Linked DNA regions of Arabidopsis thaliana. The protein of the gene in region 2 interacts with the protein of the main gene of each other region in a pairwise test. Each region holds a gene or a part of one and is shown on either strand. Other genes may lie near its edges.

Region 1 (6,900 bases), on a different chromosome or scaffold from region 2:
TCTAAACGATAAGTAACTTAGCATAATGGAATCATCAATAAATACATGCATCCACATGCAATTTCGTTTCAAATTTGGTAACACCGCATAATCGCCTAATGACATAAGTCGCAGAATGAAAACTCGCAAATGAAATAAGCAACTGTCACAGCTCTAGAGAAGATTGAGATTCGTATATCCTCCAGGACCGTTTACTTAAGTCAACATGTGCCGTCGATAAGAATGGGACGTCATCAACATTTCTCTTAATGATTTGAAGACTAGCCTCAGTTTCTTTAGTTTTCTGCATTTGACTTTGGACATGATTGAGATCCGTAAATCCTCTAGGATTTGTTGGTTGTTGCATTGGCAAATTCCAATATGTTGGTCATTGCTTTGGTAATTTCGGCTCTTCTTAGCCTTGTTGTATATTGGAGGGCTACTATTTCTAGGAAGACTTTCAAATAGAGTTTGATTTTTGATTTGTTCTCCTTAGTATATATGCAAAACATTTCTAATTTAGAGTAACAAAATTGAGAAAAATATTGTAGTCCGGAATGGTTGTGATGGTTAGGACAGACAAATCCATTTGTTTGAAGAGATTTTCGTTTACCATTCATAAACTATAATCCGTTACTGTTTTAGTCCGCTTTGCCCATATCTACCATTCAAAGCGTACGTGTAATCCTTTGCATTCCTCTACAGTTCTACTATTTACCATAAAATCTCTTTTCTTAAAGTCCCATCATACGAGCATAACAAGTTAAACAACACACAACTTATTTCTCTCAATCTATTCATTTTATTCTTCCAACTAAATTTTTACTCAACTTGTTCACCTTATTACTCTGCCTCTTAAGGGACAACCATTTGCACATATCCAACTTGATTTTGTTTCTCCAAAATTGCAACATTTTTGCATCCTAAAACTTTTGTAACCAATTAGAGCAAACTAGGTAACTCAAAACAACATATGGGCTTTCAAAGTAAGTATTCTCTCAAAATCGGCTGATTCAACTTCCTGCTTCTTTCAAAGGATTCATAAACTTAATTGACAATGGGTAAAATTAAATTATCCAAACAAATCCATAAAAGAAAAAAACAACATTTCCCTACCACCCTTTATCTTTTCCCTTCAATCCAAATCTTTCCATCTTTCATACTCAGATTATAAATACGAACAAATTCTATCTTTTTTTTAAAAAAAATTGGGGACAAACTTGCCTGGCTCTGCAATGGTGTGGGGGCTTGAGGGTACCTTCTGTTTCTTTCATTTTTGATTATAAAATTGAATAGTTAAGAAAAAAAAAAAGCTCTTTCGAGAAATCATCATGCTATCCTCCGCTTCTTCGCGGTGTTCAAGCCTGTAGTCTTGCAGATTGGGCAAAGATTCTTCTGTTTCAGCCATTCTTTAATGCATTGGCTATGGAATTCATGCCCACATTCTAGTGTCCCCATGTCTTCTCCTTCGGTGTATTCCTCCTGCACCAAGTTTTCACCATTCATACTCGGACGAAAAACAATCTTATACCTTTTAAATGCTATTTCAGTAACTAGTATATTTTTACCTGACAAACACAGCATGGCTCTGCATCTTGTGGAGATTTTGTGTTGCTTTTGTATTTTCGTTGCTTTAACCGGTTTGATATGGTTTCCTCGTTTACACCGGTACAAACATCTCCAATCCGCTCTTCTAGTGCCAACAATTCCTACAGTTTATGAACCAAAAGGAGTTAGATTTAGTGATTTAACGTGACTCAGACAAAGATTTATGGTTCACTATGGTTTTTAATTTACCTCATATGACATGTTGTCCACATCAAGTCGCATGTCTCTATACCGGTCATGACCAGTAGCCCCATCAAATAGTACTGAGTGATTTAGAAGCATAACGTCCTGGAAAACAAGCATCCAGATTATTTATGTTCCAGTTATTAGGCTAGTTCATCTAGAAATCAACAGAGACAGACACAAGACAAGTTCGAATTTAGATAACTTCGCTACAATCAGGAAAAACTAACCTCAAGCCGCAAGTTGTTATTATTAGCATCCCTACGCATGACATCCAAGACATTCTGCATCTGTCGGAAAGAGAAACGTATTGTTAGTTCTATTTGAGTGACTGCTGAAGAACAAACAAATGGTATTTATGCGCAACTGAATGAGCCAAAGTTAACAAATTCCATCCACGTTAAAGGCTACATGCCAATAGAATTTGTATCGACTGACCTGGGACACCATAAGTCTGCTTCTTCCTCTGCTTGCAGCTGCCAAGGCCCGCAAAGGATGAGGAATACCAACCACACTATCCCCTTGCCTATCAAACAACGGACCTGCTCTCGAGTAAGCCCGATTATGCATCTGACTATTATCACCACCAGGCTGAAGCACAAGCCCATCCGAAGAGGCAGGAGGGGCCAACGAACGAAGTGTTGGATGATCACCAGATCTCTGGTTTGTAGCATCTGCTGCAAGGGAAGAAAGCAAGGACCTACGTGCAAGTTCAGACCTTTCAGTCCTTCTTCTTTGATAATGTGGTGAATTCTGGTAAGAAGTCCACGCTAGATTAGAAGATGGTGGTGGTGGTGGTGGAACACTTGTTGTTGAGCCTGTCCTGGACACTGATGATGCACTATTCAGGTTTCCATTTGTTACATTTCTGCTACTCTGACTACGGGCAAAATTTCCTACCTCAGGAGCTGCAAACATGGGAATCTCAAGAGTATTCCCGGGTATGCTTCTTGACCTGGTTTCATCTAGATGAAGATTTCTCTCAACGGGCGCAGTAGAGTTCGATGTTCCACCCACTAGTGAGCTCCCAGTCCACCGAAATGGTGGTAGCATAGTCCTTGAACCAGGTGGTATGCTCACAGGAGTAGAATTTGGGTTACGAGAAACGACAAAAGACTGTCCAGGTCTCAAGTCCAATGAATGCTGATCTGCTGGTAAGTGTCTTGACAAGTTCAACTGGGATGGAGGGACAGGCCGCCTGACAACAGTTCCCGCAGCAAAGGTAGATGGGTTTACAGTTTCTTGATGATCTGAGGGATTACTCCTGACGCATATATTTCTACTGGAGCTCTCTGCAATGGCAGAAACAGGAAAATTTGGTGCAGAAACAGGAAAATTTGGTACAGTACCGGAGACCATTCCTCTTGGTCCATTGTCAAGGGAGCCAGATATGTTTAAACCATTTCCTGGCCTAAAAACCGTAGAACCTGGGGTCCACGAACTGCTTTCTCCACGCTGGAAATCATGATAACCTCCTGAAGAAGATTGACTAATACTGCCTTCAAGAGCTTTTCTTTTGCAGGATGCACGACGTCCCTCTACAGAAGAACCTGTTCCAACACCGTTCTCTTCAAAAGATCTGCCAGGTTGTGAGACCCTGGTCCCTGGTCCATTAGCTTCTATGAAGCCAGACCGACCTCTATATGGATTAATATCCTCGTGAATTTCTATATACTCTGCATTCAGATTGACATTCTGAACAGGTTGATTTGTGCCTGATGGCTGCGCAAACACTGGGTCTAAATCAATTATTTCATTTCCTCGTCCGTCAAAGCATCTTGTTTCCATTCGTTGCTCATTGTGACTGGAAGCTTCATCCTTCGTGCCACTAGAGCTAGCCTCACCAAGGCTAAATCTGCGTAAACCCTGTTGCTCGTGATAAACTGAGTTTGCAAGCGAAGTATTTGATTCAGAATTTGCAATCATGTAATCCTGCAAGTCATTATCACCAAGACTGTGAATATTCTCCCAATGATCTATCACACCATTACTTGAAGAAGAACCATGCTCAAAGTTCAAGGCCTCTGATAAATAGCCAAGACTGGCCCTCTCCCCCTGCATCTTGGCTAAGCTTTTAACCACAGTTACACTCAGGAGAAGAGAACTCACGAGACTACCCTGCCCTCAACAATGTGCCTAATGGGGAGACTGCAAAACAACAAAGACAGTAGATCTTTCAGTAACAAAGACAAGGAAAAGGCTTCTACACGATGTCAACTGTAATAAGAAACATATAAACACACTCAATCAAAACATAGCTCCTACAATTGTAATAATAAATGGCACCCTGAGATTGCATATACAGTCATATAATCTGCTTCACCTAGAAGAGCACAAGGTGCAAAAGTCACTCAAAGCAAGACCGCTGCAACTACTACTAAATGCAACTTACTTCTAGATGCGACGCCTAACTAAAACACAAATGATTCAGTAGGAAACTAATGACACATGAGTTATTAACAAGCTTAAAAAATAAGAGGACAGATGCGATAGAAAATTCATATGATCAACCATTCTAAACACAAAAGAACTTCAAGTCTAAATTATCAAATTGACACCTAACTGCCAACTTCGAAACAAAGCGTCAATGAAAATGAGGTACAAACAAAATCCAGGACCACGTAACAAGCATGCCAATTTTGAAACAAGGAAAAGAGTGAAAAACATTTTACTCAACTACCACCACAATGGCAATTCAGAAAAACAAGAGAAATATCAAAATAAGCACTGCCTCATCAATGACATATCAACTACCCATAGATGCAACAGCGTATGAAGTTTCACAAATCCTCAATACCAAGCAAAGATGTATTGAAACAGCAAGGTAAAAGCAAAGACAAAAGAAACCCACAGCTTGAAGATAAAGCATCATCACAATAAAAAACAATTCAAAAACCTCAAAGAATCAAACTTTCTCATAAAACAAGCTCATAGAAGTAAAGATCCGATTCAAACATCTAAAACCCAATAACAAAAAATAATTTTTTTACCTTCTGATGAATAATAAATTCACCACAACAACAATTCTACAGAATTTGACACAAAATTTCAAAAAAAAAACTATTTTTCAAAAAACCCACCAACCGATTCTTATCTATTTCGATCGAGCTTTGAAAACCCAATAGAACCCAGAAAAGACACAAAAATCAAAATCAAAACCAAAACCAAACAGATACAGAACATAAATCGATCTAAGAACAATAAAAATCAAAACTTTATGAAGATTCTTAATGAAAACGAAAGAGACTCACCGATTGTTGAAGAGAGAAACCTACCGCTTTGTGGTGGAGGAGAAGGAAGAAGGAGAAGAAGAGAGAATGAGGAAAAAGGAAGGAAGCAAAGCACAACAACACAAATGGGAACAGAAAAGAGGATTATTAGGACGAGACGGCAATGTGTAATTTACCATATAACCCAAAATAAAAACTAATATTTTAAGGAAATTGAATCAAAAAGTTAAAAAGGGTCAGTCATAAGAACAGTTTCCAAAGACTGAATTGAATTGCTAAATGCCTAAATCAACGAATAAACAAAAACTAATAATTCAATGTGTAAAGATTTTTAATTAATTACAGTTACACGTAATGTGTAATGTTGAAGAAGAAAGCAAGTTGGCTTAAGAAGAAAGAGTTAATAGGATTTTTCTTTTGGGTCATTCATTAGTCATTACTTAAGCAAATTGTCCCAACCAAAAGTTTCTCAGCCTTTGCCTCTTCCATACACACGTCCCTCGTTTGTTTTACTTTTATTTGTTCATACTGAACTAAACCGGAACTTAACCGAGCAGAACAAATCCGGTTTCTTTTCGAACTTTTTGTTTCCTAGTTGTCATGTAACTTTGGTCTACTTTCTCCTTCTGTTTATCTTTTTTATTTTTATTGTTTATTTTCTTCCATTAGCTTAGATTCCCCATTTAAATATATGTACAAAAAAAAAGAGTATACGTGTGGATCAGAATCACTAGTTACCTAAATTTGGTACTGGCAAGATTTATCAATTTATGAATGGTCTTTCTTTATCCTATATACAAAAGAAAGAAAAAATCTAAAAATATTTTTTATTTGAGTGCATCATGTTAAAAAATATTTTTATTAATAATATTTACTTCTAGTTAATTGGTCAATATTGGTTTTATTGTTTGCAATCAATGCGTGAACTGTAATAAAAAAGAGAGTATATGTGTGCAGATTTATTAACTTATGAATGGTTTTATCCTATCCTATATATATAAAAGAAAGGAAAAAAACGAAAAAGGTTTTTTTAGGGTTAACAAAAAGTCTATGTGTAATATTTACTTCTAAATTTTGGTCAATATTTTATTATTAGCAATCAATTTCTTTATTATTTTCTGAACTGTAAATAATAAGGTTCATCCCCTTAAATAAATTTTATCTTCTTGAAACGTTTTTTTAAGAAGAAATTTCATTCTATTCATACATAATATTTTTATATTTTAAGAAAAATCATTTTAAATTTAATGTTTTGTTTAAATTTTATAAAATCCAAATATGGTTGCACATTTTAACTTTGATATATGGAAATTAAAGTAATTTCATATACCCCTGAAAGCATAATTTAATTTTAATTTTTGAAAAGTATTTGAATATTAAAATTTGTTTTGGGATGTGAAATGTTTTTGAAGGCATATGTTGATTTCATTGTGAAAATCAAAGTGTCTTTGTTTAATTAGTGAAACCACACACATGATTATAACCATCTTACTTTGAGAGATTCGAAGAAGAGAGAATTTCTATATAATGTTGTAATTGATCATGATTTAAATGAGTTTTTATATACATTTTAAAATGATTTGGTTTAGAGGGTTACTTCTCTAATTTTTAGAGAGAGAATTGAATTACTCAATATGGTAGAGAAAATTTTGGTCAAGAGTGAAATTTTTATATCTAAGTTCGACCATCTTTGGAAAAAAAACACATTTGTCTGAAAAGTGTGTTAGTTGGGTTTTGGCTAAATTCTAACTGGTTTACATGGTAGTTAGAAATGCAGGCGGTCTGATTATCCATGAAATTCGGAAAACACTCCAAACTTGGGACAAACTTTATGGTGGTCTTTCGGAGAGAAGTCTACTATAAAACAGGTGCAATTCTACCGACCAGATCAGCTGATAGG
Region 2 (5,110 bases):
TATGTCCTCCTCAGCCACAGGACCTATAAGAAAGACGTTGCAATCAGACCCATTTATTCATCGAAAAAGACAATAAAACCTGCATGATCAAGTGATACTTCTTATAGAACAGAGACAAATTGGCAGAATAAATAAGAAGTACAAAAGGAGACACTTGAAATAAAAGCAAGCTAAACCTCTGGATATTCTTAATCGTACCAGGCAAAGGTTTAACGAGTTTTCTCGAATACAAAAAAAAAAAAAAAAAAGGTTCATGCAGAGTACATATATATAACAGAACCAAAGAGAGTCTAACAAATCATAGCGTTACCAAAAAAAACTCAGAAACATATAATGTGGATTGATGAAATAAAAGTGTGACATATATCAAACCCTAAAAGTGTTTTTAGTGTGAATCTATCAGTCAAAATCAGCCAAGAAAAGGGAGATTACCTGCGCTACAGTTTGCTGGAGGATGTCTCTGCATATCCCTCAGTTCCCTTGAAATCCTCTTAGAAGCCATGCTTTTAGACTCGAAAACCTGCGGACGAGATAAGCAACACACAATGAGTATTAAGGAATTCAACTAAGAACATAACATATCATAGAGGAAGACGAATAAAACAATACATACGTAACGTAAGTGATGATAAACCCTAAGAAGTAGTTGAAACAGAAAACATAAAGGAAAGATGGATCAAAAGAAACATACCACAACAGGAGATTGAATCTTTTTTTCAAGGCCACTACAAAAGAGAGAAGAGATTCGTGAAAAGCCTAAAACCCTCTACTTCTTTTTTATAGTCGGAGAATACAAGTCAGTCTCGAGGCTTCTGATTCTGTCGGCAAGTACCGCCTGACCTATTAGTAGGGACCCATGGCGGATGATATTGGAAAATTGCAACCAAAGATATGTTTATTTTCTAAAACACCTATTCTTGGTTTGGTCTAAAGATATTCTTGGTTTGGTCTATAGATATGATATTTCCTAAAACAGCTATTGTAAACAATATGGAAAATTTCTTAAGTGTTTTATTAGAACCATGTACACTTTTGAAATATATTAAAAAAATTAAGAAAATCAATAATTTAATCATAAATATACCAACTTTGGTATAAGTTAATAGAAGATTAGGAACGAGTTTTGTATTTGGGAGCAATGTATAATCCTAACTATGGAAGGCTCATAGTTGGTTTGGTTTTGGTTGTGGTTGATCCATGTGTAGATTGGAACCCCTTATGTCAAGAGTGTACCAAAACAGTCCAAACATTGCGTTTGGGGCGATTAGAATTGCAGTTTCCTGCAACCAAGTGAGGAGAGGGAAACAAGAGAATAAAAGTAGACCCAACAATCGAAATTAATACTAGTTTATAGTGATCAGAACAGAAGAGGAGTAAGAGCAGCTAAGTTGTTCGATACTTGCTAACGTTTGATAAACCAAACAAGTGCATTTTTTTTAAGTTATTATTTTATTCCGATGCGCAATAACATATCCTTTGCTTTGTCTTATATCATCAACCCATTGCGTACTTTTGTGTCCAGCTTCTCGCAGTTGACTCGTACTTGGATCTATCTGTCTTGTACATGTGAGCTATCTCCGGCACAAGAGGATCATCTGGGTTTGGGTCAGTCAACAGCGAGCAAATCGACAACAGAACCTAATTTCCACAGCATCAATATCGCTCGCGTTAACACACAAAATTGGCTAAGATAGTAACATAATTTGTGTTAAAATGGTAGGAGTAGAGATACACAAACTCGAACCTTAGAGATAGTAAGAGCAGGGCTCCATTGCTCTTTCAAAATATCAAGGCAAATACTTCCATTGCTATTGATGTTTGGATGGTACACCTTAGTCTTAAAAGACACCTGCAAGATCGATGGATTCACATCATAAGATCAATGATAAAAACCGATGAATCATAAAGAGTCTCATAACACAACACATTACCTTTGGTGGCTTGAAAGGATAATCCGGAGGGAAATGAATAGAAACCAAAAACACTCCTCCGGCATACGGACTTTCAGGAGGTCCCATGATAGTGGCTTGCCAATGGAACATGTCCTCAGCCACCGGACCTAAAACAACGTGACAACAAAATTACATCAATAAAGACATATTAGCAGGAGCTACAAAAGGAGACACTTTGACATAAACTCAAAACCATGCAGAGTTCTGGATACTTGTCAAATACAGGACAGGAAAGGGTAAATATGAAGTGCATAACAGACAACAAAATCCATGAGATCAGCGTTAATCAAAGAGTCTAGCAAACCAAAGCTTTTACCAAAAAAAAAATCAGAAGCATAACATGGATTGAGGAAATAAAGTATGATACTTGATACCCTAACCTACATCAATCTAGTGAGAGAGTAAGGAACCTAATTCAGAGTCATTAGTGCCAGGTAAGTAATTGGTTAAAATCAGATTAGAAAAGGGAGATTACCAGCGCTGCAGTTTGAAGGAGGATCCTTCTGCAGATCCTTGAGCTCCTTCAAGATCCTCTTAGAAGCCATGCGTCAGAGACGAGAAAACCTGTGGAAACCCCCAACAAGACCAGAATATTATTGAACAGAGGATATAACTTAAGACAATCAACTTAAGAACAAAACAGATCACAGTGGAAGAACCAGAGACCGAACAAAACAACACAAAACGTAAGTGATCGGAAACCCTATTATTAAGCGGTGGAAACTAATCGCGCAAAACAAAAACAGAGGACGATTCGGGAGAGAAAGAAATTAGGGTTTAACCAAAGAGAAATGGTGGAATTAGACCTGGAAGAAGGACGGACAACACAAAGCGAGAGCTTCTTTATCGGGAGAGAAGAGAATCGAGAATAAAAATGGAGTGCAAAGGAGAAAACGAAACTTGTTACTTTGCCTTTCTTTATAGTCAGAGAATCTAAAACAAGTCAGTCTCGAAGCTTCTGATTCTATCAGCAAGTACCGCCTCACCTATTTCACCTTTTCTATATATTTATTAATTCTCGTGCCAAAAGTTTTTTTATTTCACCAATTAGGACTCATGCAGTCAAAAAATACAGAGCAATGATTTTATTTTTATTTATTTACTCATGTAGTTTATCTTTTTGAGACGATAAATTTCACATATAATTGTATCACTATTTCAGTTAGATTTTCAAACACCCAAAGACTCTTGTGATTTAATTTAAACGAATCATACAACAACAAATGAAAATTCAAAACTAGTCGCACACTTATAACCAATCTAAGAACTACAACCATTCATGGTGAGGGTTTCAATTACACTACAATTCCAGATATTGATTGGAATAAATTATGCAGTCAGACATAGAGAACTAAAATAAACGGTTTATGAAGAAGAAGAAGAAGGAAAAGCAAAAATAAATAATGATTTGAGAATGAGAGAAAGAGAATTTAAAACCAATCTAAACCGGGCTATCAGAGCTTCTGATCATCTCCGGCGAGGAGGCTCTGTTACCAGAACCAGGACCGGACCCTGAAGGTCGAATCTCCTCCATCATGTTAACCACTTCCTCCATTGAAGGCCTAGAATCTGGATGCTTAGACACACATGCCATTGCTATCTGCAACATCTGCACCATTTCTTCCTCTACGTTGTGTTGCTGCTTGATCAGCTCTACGTCAAACACTTCTCCAGTCCACTCCTCTCTCACCACTGATTGCACCCACTTTGGCAGATCCACCACTTCTTCATGCCCAGTAGTCTTCCCTGCTGCTTTCCCAGTCAGCATTTCTAGCAACAGTACACCAAAGCTGTATACGTCGGACTTCTGGGTATGTTTCCGTGTTTCTATGGCCTCGGGTGCTCTGTAACCTAAGCTTCTTGATGGGATCAAGGTGTGATGGCTCATCAATGGAGCTATACCGAAATCAGAGACACAGACATGAAGTTCTTGGGTTAAGAGGACATTTGGTGATTTGATGTTTCCATGGAGGAGTTTAGCACCAGATGCAGAATGGATGTGAGAAATTCCCCTCGCAGCTTCCAAACAGATCCTTAACCTTGTTTCCCAGTCCAACGCTGCTCTTCCTCCCTCATTGTTTCCTGCATAGAATTCATCTAAAGTGTTACTTTAAAGCCACTTTTTATAACCTTGAGTAACATGTAAAACATCATATTACCATGAAGCAGCATGGAGAAATTGCCCCCTTGGTAGTAATCATACACGAGTAGCTTCTCGTCTTTTGAAAAGTAATAGGCACGGAGAGGAGCTACATTCACGTGTGGACTGATCCTTCCCACGGCTTCCATCTGCTGCTCGAACTCCCGTTTCCCAGCTGCTACTTCTTTCAGTCTCTTCACCACCACCGTGGTTCCTTCCTCTAAGATGGCCTTATACGTTGTGCCATAGCTTCCTTTCCCTAAAACTTCAGCCGAGGCTCTGAGCAAGTCCTCAAGATCAAAGTTATATGAACTTCCTTCAAAGAAGACCAGCTTGTTCTTCTCCGCCTCTTGCACCCCACTCCCAAACTCCTCAGCCTTGTTGTCACTCCTCCCGGGTTTAGCTTTTGGCACTGCGGTGCTATCTTGCCCGCCATCTCTTTTCTTGGCACAGCAAAGGGTTATGATGGCAAGAATGATAAACAACAGAACCGAACCTCCAACTGCAATGCCCACAATAGCACCAGTGGAGAGAACTTTTTTGGCGGTACCACGACCTATATTGGTTGTACCAGGACCTTCTGTTGGTGTTGTCGGTGAAGGAGATGGTGCAGTGGTGTTTTCTGGGCATGGAGTCAGAGGAGCACCGCATAGAAGGCTATTACCTTGAAATGAGGATGCTGGGAAGGACTTGACAGAAGATGGAACTGACCCGTTAAGGTTATTGAAGCTCAAATTCAAGTATTTAAGGCGAGGAGGGAGGTTAGGAATTGGACCACTAAGAGAATTGTTTTGCAGGCTGAGATCAGTGAGCTGGGTAAGGTTTTGTAGACTCGTGGGAATGTTTCCCGAGAGCGAGTTGGCGGAGAGATCAAGATTAACGAGGCGATGAGAAAGGACGGGAGGGATAGTACCAGAAAAGTTGTTTTCATGAAAGTATAGTGATCGGATAAAAGGAAGTGAAAGAATGACAGATGGAATGTTCCCTTGAAGGTGGTTGGATCTAAGGCTAATGATCC
Region 3 (5,278 bases), on a different chromosome or scaffold from region 2:
GTCTGGTTTTGTTGCGTTCTTCCGATTTGGGTTGGAGAGGAAATGGCGTCGGGATGGGGAATAACGGGAAACAAAGGGAGATGCTACGATTTCTGGATGGATTTCAGTGAATGTATGTCTCACTGCAGAGAGCCCAAAGATTGTACCCTTCTTCGTGAAGATTACCTCGAGTGTCTCCACCATTCCAAAGAGGTAGGTACCCACTTCTTTTTTCCGGTGATATTGTTTGAAGAATTTCATTGATTTGATGGTTCTGATGTTCGCCACTGTTTCCGGCTAGATCAGTGTGATTGTGATGTCTAGATCACTTAGTTGTCGAAATTCCAAAAATCCTAGATCAGGTCGAGCAATTGGGAAATGAGTCCCATGCCTTTGTTGATTGGCCATTTTCGGAATCCTCAGCTGCAGAATCAAGATGCCATTGAAAGATCATGTTCTCTTGTTTAAGATAGGATGTATCGATTAGGCGTTTCTGGAACTAAATCATCTCTGTACATGTTACAACTGTTTCTTCTGCAATTACACGGCTCTCTTAGAACATTACGATTGACACCAGTGGTTTCTTTACTTTGAATGAAGATGCTGTAAGTTTAAGTTTTTATGTGTTGTGTACCTGTTGTTGCAGTTTCAAAGAAGGAACAGGATATACAAGGAGGAGCAGCGTAAACTAAGAGCAGCTTCGAGGAAAGGTGAAGAAGCCGGAGATGGGACTCACAACCATCACTAGTCTCAACAATCCTCCTTCAAGCTTCATCCGATTCCAGAGAAGAATAATAAAAGGTTCATGGAAGATTTTGTATCTTGGAATCTCTAAACGCTTTGATTGTTTTTCAGTTTTCAATTTTATCCAATCATGTTCTGCTTTCTTTTTATGTTAAATCGTCTCTTTGAGACGTATACTTTTCCACCTGAATTATGGACATGTGGATTGTGGATCATTTACTTCTTCACTATTACTCCATCCAACCAGGAACAATGGCAACATTTTGTCGATAACTTGTGTTTAATTAATTATAACAATTGTTCTTGGAAAGCTCACAATGTACATTGGAAACCAGTTATAGTTACATCATAAACAAGTTTTGATCGATCAAACAAGTCCCCAGTTTTCTTTTATACATTGATCATTAAGCCTGATAGAATTCTCCCAGGCGACTGTAGAGTTCTGACACAACTTCTCTCAGAAGTGTCTATGCCACAAGCTAGGGATCGTGCGATGATTCGATGGGACAGGGAAATGTGGGAACCAATCTCTCTCCCATGCATGAATTTGATCGGTTTCTGGTTCATGGTGTCCACCTGGATAAATGAAGAATCCAACGTTCTGATCTGGCATTGGTGGGGGAGGTGGCGGCGGCGGTAATCCCCTTCTTGTCATGGAGATGAGAGGTGATGCGAGAGTGGGACCATTGGCATGATGTTGTTGCCTCTGATGATTATAAGCATGATGCTGTTCACGCATTTGGGTGCTGCTTCCTTGGTAACTGTTAATTGCTGGTGAGGACCTTTGATTAGACCTACAATGCCCAATTCCAAAAGAATATTGTAAAACACTCTGCAAGAAGTTGAGAGCAATAGGGAGTTTGAGAAGCTAACCGGTGACTAAAAAGAAATGGATGCGCATAAGGTAGGCCTCGTGCTGCTGAAGAGTCAACTTCACCATCAACCACATGAGCAGCGGGTAGTGAAAACGATGGGGAATGGTGATGATACTGGGGGGCAACAGGAAGCTGGTGAAAGTGATCGTTAGAGTGGCTGTTCCAGGGATGATCATCTGTGCTGTTATTGTCGCTAGTTCTCGGGGTAGCGGCTGGGCCAGGTCCAACATATGCAAGATACGAATGATTCACAGCAGCGGCGTGATGTCCATGGAACTCAGTATGATCTAAGGAAGAAATATGGGTTTTGACATTATAAACGGATTGCTAGACAAAATGAAATGATTATATACAGAACAATCAGCGTCTAACTTACATGTAGTGGTTGCAGGTTCCAGTTCCCTGAAACACAGAGCAAAAGTCAATTCTAGCTTTCGCGTTTGAAGGATCAAAAGCCTTAGAAAAGAGAGATAATAGCAAAAACCATGGTAAAGGTGTTGTAGGCTTACTCGAAAGAAGCTGCTGCTTGAGAGAGTTCACCAAACGGGCACCAATGGACCCGATATTGCTGCAAACCCCGTAAAAATGTCAGGATAAGCGATCTCTCATAAGGAGGTTATATGATAAAAGCACAGTTCTCATGTACACGAAAAGAAAGCATATCGTTGCACAAAGTAGTGAGCTTTTACCATTTCCGGATAGCTTAAACCGTACAAGTCTTCTTCAGGGATCCAATCTTCCATGGAAAACTCTGGAAAGGGGCGAGTAGAACCGTTTGCATACAACCACTGACCCTTTTCGACATTGCGACAGTTAGGGCATTGCATGGCTCCTTTCATGTTAAATGCTGATCCAATGCAATCTGCAAGAAACCAAAAAACAAGCTGCTAAAGGGAAAGCCGAAAATAGCAACAAATTCAGCAGCCAGATAATAGAACTAGCAAGCCTCATTCTATATCTACACAAGAGAAGAAACCGATTCACAAGTTACGACACACATTTGTCAGAACTCGATCATTTCTAGGATCAACCAACTGCAGAGTCGTGGCAATCTAAGCTTGTAAACAAAGCAAGGGATTAGGAATCCATCTATATTCTCAAATTCATTCAATTATCGTCCAAATCTACCATCAGATAATTGCACAAAAGCTTGTACAAGCAAAAAGCCATCGGATCATCAAACTGTGATGGAGGGAACGCAAAATGGTAAGAGATGGAGGAAGGGAATGAAATACCCAAATGGAACTGGTGACCACATTGGAGCTTAGCCTTGGATCTGGTACCATCATCGAGCACCGATTCGAGGCAAATCGAGCACGAGACTTCGACAGGAGACGAGGAATCCTCCGGGTTCCCGCGTTTTCCAGGGTCACATCCACCAGCAATTCGGAGATCATCATCGCAACCCGAATCTTTAGCTCCGGCCATATCTTCACCAGCAGGCCAAATCGGAGGGAACCAACGAAAATTTTCGTTTTTCGAAAGAACAAAAAAAAAGAAAAGAAAGGATTGTCAAACAAAAATCAATGAGAAACCATGTCTCGCTATCGCTATCTGTCTCTCCGAGTTCGTCTGCCTTTTGGAACGCCGATGCGGTAAATCTATCCTTCCTCTTCCTCTCTCTCTCTCTCTCTCTCTCGTCCGACCTGTTAGAGATGACGTGGTTCAAAACCGGACAATGACATTGGACTCTCCCTTTTCTTTTCTTTCCTCTCCCATTGTGGATAATTTTTTATTATTATTTTATTACTTTAGTTTTGGATAGATGATCATCAAACCATCCATCCATCTGAACCAACAACCAAACTATAAATTTGTTCATTTAAATCATTAATCTCTATTTAGTTGATTTGTTTTCTTCTCTAGTCTCTTTCATATGAAGTTTATTATAACTTTCACATCCATTTTGTTATGAGAAAGATTAGCATATTATAACACACGAATATTGATTGTCTAAGGATACCAAAACATTGTATGTAGTAAACAATTACACATATAGATGCAAATGTATATTGTCTTGAATCGTTGTTTCACATCAAGCTAATATTATTTCACTTTATTCTTCTGAATTAGAAGACTATGCAGAGACTTTGCTTTGACCGAGTAGCCTTCCCTTAGGTTTCAGACCTTGATCTTAGGCTTCTTCACGATCATCACCGAGCAATGAGCATGATGAGCGCAGTAGTCACTCGTACTCCCGAGAACCGCCCTGCCACACAAACCGACAAGTGAATCAGAATGGGTGTATAGTTGAAAGATTGATCATAAGAATTAAGGCTGAATGAAATAATACCTCTTGATAGCTCCATATCCATGGCTTCCCACAACAAGAATAGAAGCATGATGCTTATCTACAACTTCACATAGGATATTCCTTGCATCACCTTCGAAAACTTCGATCACCGCGCCATGAACCTACACAACAAACCTAGGAATGATGATTGAAAAGAAGAAGATAGTTGCTAACCAAAGATAGATAGTTACTATAAGAAAAACCAGTGCTACTTAGCTTGAAGCTCTTAAATGTGCTAGAGATTCACATTCACATTACCAAACTCATCTAATAGAGTCCAATACAACACATGATGACGATTATAAAATCCAAGAAACACATAAAACGAATTTGAATGTTTGATAATAGCAAGATCGTACCGATCTGCTCTGACAAATTGCTTTGGCTTTCTCGACAACCTTAGCAGCGGTATGCTTCAGATCAGCATCAACATAAGGTACAACCTCCGCAGTTCCTAAAACACACAGATTAACAAAACCTAAATGATCTCTCCCCATCGCTGCCCAAAACAGAACCCCTAGAAGAGTAGATTCGAGAGTGAAAGCAAAGAGCGTACCGGGACCAGCGAGACCAACGGCGGAGACGGCGTTAGGTTTGGCGTGGACGATGAAGAGCTTAAAAGGATAATTGGGAGCGTAAGGAGCGAAGAAACGATCGAGCGTCCACTCCAAGGCGTAAGTGCTCTGCTCGCTGTCGTCAACTCCGACGACCATCACCGATTTCCCATCTCCGGTGGCCATGACTCTGACGTTGTTCGCCGGCGTGAAGAAAACGCGCTCTTGTGTTTGTGGTAGAAAGAAGCCTAGAAGAATCCTCCAAAGTGTTTGCACAGAAAAAGAGAGTTTTGGTATCTTCTTCTTCTATTATTTAATTTCTTTAAATAAAAAGAAAAGAGGAATGTGATACTTTGATTTGATGACGTGGCTGGTCCTCATTTCTTTATGCCTTTCCATTAGTAAATTTCCCAATATTTAAAGTTACCCACAGATTTTAAATAAGAAGAACCCACAGATTTTACACAAAATTTATTCTAATTTGAATATTACCCATAAAACAAAGTACATAAAAGGATTTTGCAGGTTAACAGTTATTAGCTTTTTAGTAACAAACTGATATGAATTGGTTTGATAACTTTCGATTTTACTTGGAAATTAACTATTACAAGAAAAATCTAATTTCAAATAGTGGAATGATTTGAGTTGGGTAAAATCCGGCTCAGATGATAACAATTACAAAATAAAAATGAGACGGCCGGCTGTAGAATAATATGACGACGTGAAGCAAAAGCAGGAGTGCGACAGAAACCTCTCTAACCAAATTGCTTTTAGTTATATTCTTCTTCGTCTTGACGCTACTCTTTACCTTTTTTTATCTGATTTCAGATTTC

Evidence for each region. The genes of interacting proteins can lie anywhere in the genome.
Region 1: the proteins of UBC11 (region 2) and AT5G42940 interact in a two-hybrid assay, tested with the Arabidopsis thaliana proteins (one large-scale study listed by BioGRID).
Region 3: the proteins of UBC11 (region 2) and RFI2 interact in a two-hybrid assay, tested with the Arabidopsis thaliana proteins (one large-scale study listed by BioGRID).

What each region holds. Positions count from the first base shown.
Region 1 is NC_003076.8:17,215,341-17,222,240, forward strand, and holds AT5G42940 (RING/U-box superfamily protein), read right to left. Parts: upstream 5,333-6,900; 5' UTR 5,022-5,332; intron 3,919-5,021; 5' UTR 3,832-3,918; coding exon 2,209-3,831; intron 2,061-2,208; coding exon 2,001-2,060; intron 1,876-2,000; coding exon 1,777-1,875; intron 1,689-1,776; coding exon 1,548-1,688; intron 1,462-1,547; coding exon 1,309-1,461; 3' UTR 989-1,308; downstream 1-988. UniProt on the Arabidopsis thaliana protein: Probable E3 ubiquitin-protein ligase that may possess E3 ubiquitin ligase activity in vitro.
Region 2 is NC_003074.8:2,638,874-2,643,983, reverse strand, and holds UBC11 (ubiquitin-conjugating enzyme 11), read right to left. Parts: upstream 2,973-5,110; 5' UTR 2,759-2,972; exon of another isoform or gene 2,619-2,758; intron 2,517-2,618; 5' UTR 2,498-2,516; coding exon 2,428-2,497; intron 2,060-2,427; coding exon 1,932-2,059; intron 1,850-1,931; coding exon 1,745-1,849; intron 1,639-1,744; coding exon 1,495-1,638; 3' UTR 1,065-1,494; downstream 1-1,064. Other genes in the region: UBC12 (ubiquitin-conjugating enzyme 12), read right to left, coding at 1-23, 433-502; AT3G08680 (Leucine-rich repeat protein kinase family protein), read right to left, coding at 3,394-4,034, 4,112-5,110. UniProt on the Arabidopsis thaliana protein: Accepts the ubiquitin from the E1 complex and catalyzes its covalent attachment to other proteins. Mediates the selective degradation of short-lived and abnormal proteins.
Region 3 is NC_003071.7:19,551,326-19,556,603, forward strand, and holds RFI2 (RING/U-box superfamily protein), read right to left. Parts: upstream 3,323-5,278; 5' UTR 3,027-3,322; coding exon 2,834-3,026; intron 2,461-2,833; coding exon 2,288-2,460; intron 2,167-2,287; coding exon 2,108-2,166; intron 2,001-2,107; coding exon 1,975-2,000; intron 1,886-1,974; coding exon 1,597-1,885; coding exon of another isoform or gene 1,518-1,596; coding exon 1,181-1,517; 3' UTR 989-1,180; downstream 1-988. Other genes in the region: AT2G47690 (NADH-ubiquinone oxidoreductase-like protein), read left to right, coding at 1-192, 626-727; AT2G47710 (Adenine nucleotide alpha hydrolases-like superfamily protein), read right to left, coding at 3,720-3,807, 3,892-4,013, 4,251-4,345, 4,448-4,631. UniProt on the Arabidopsis thaliana protein: Mediates phytochrome (phyA and phyB)-controlled seedling deetiolation responses such as hypocotyl elongation in response to red and far-red light. Required for light-induced expression of LHCB3 and CHALCONE SYNTHASE (CHS).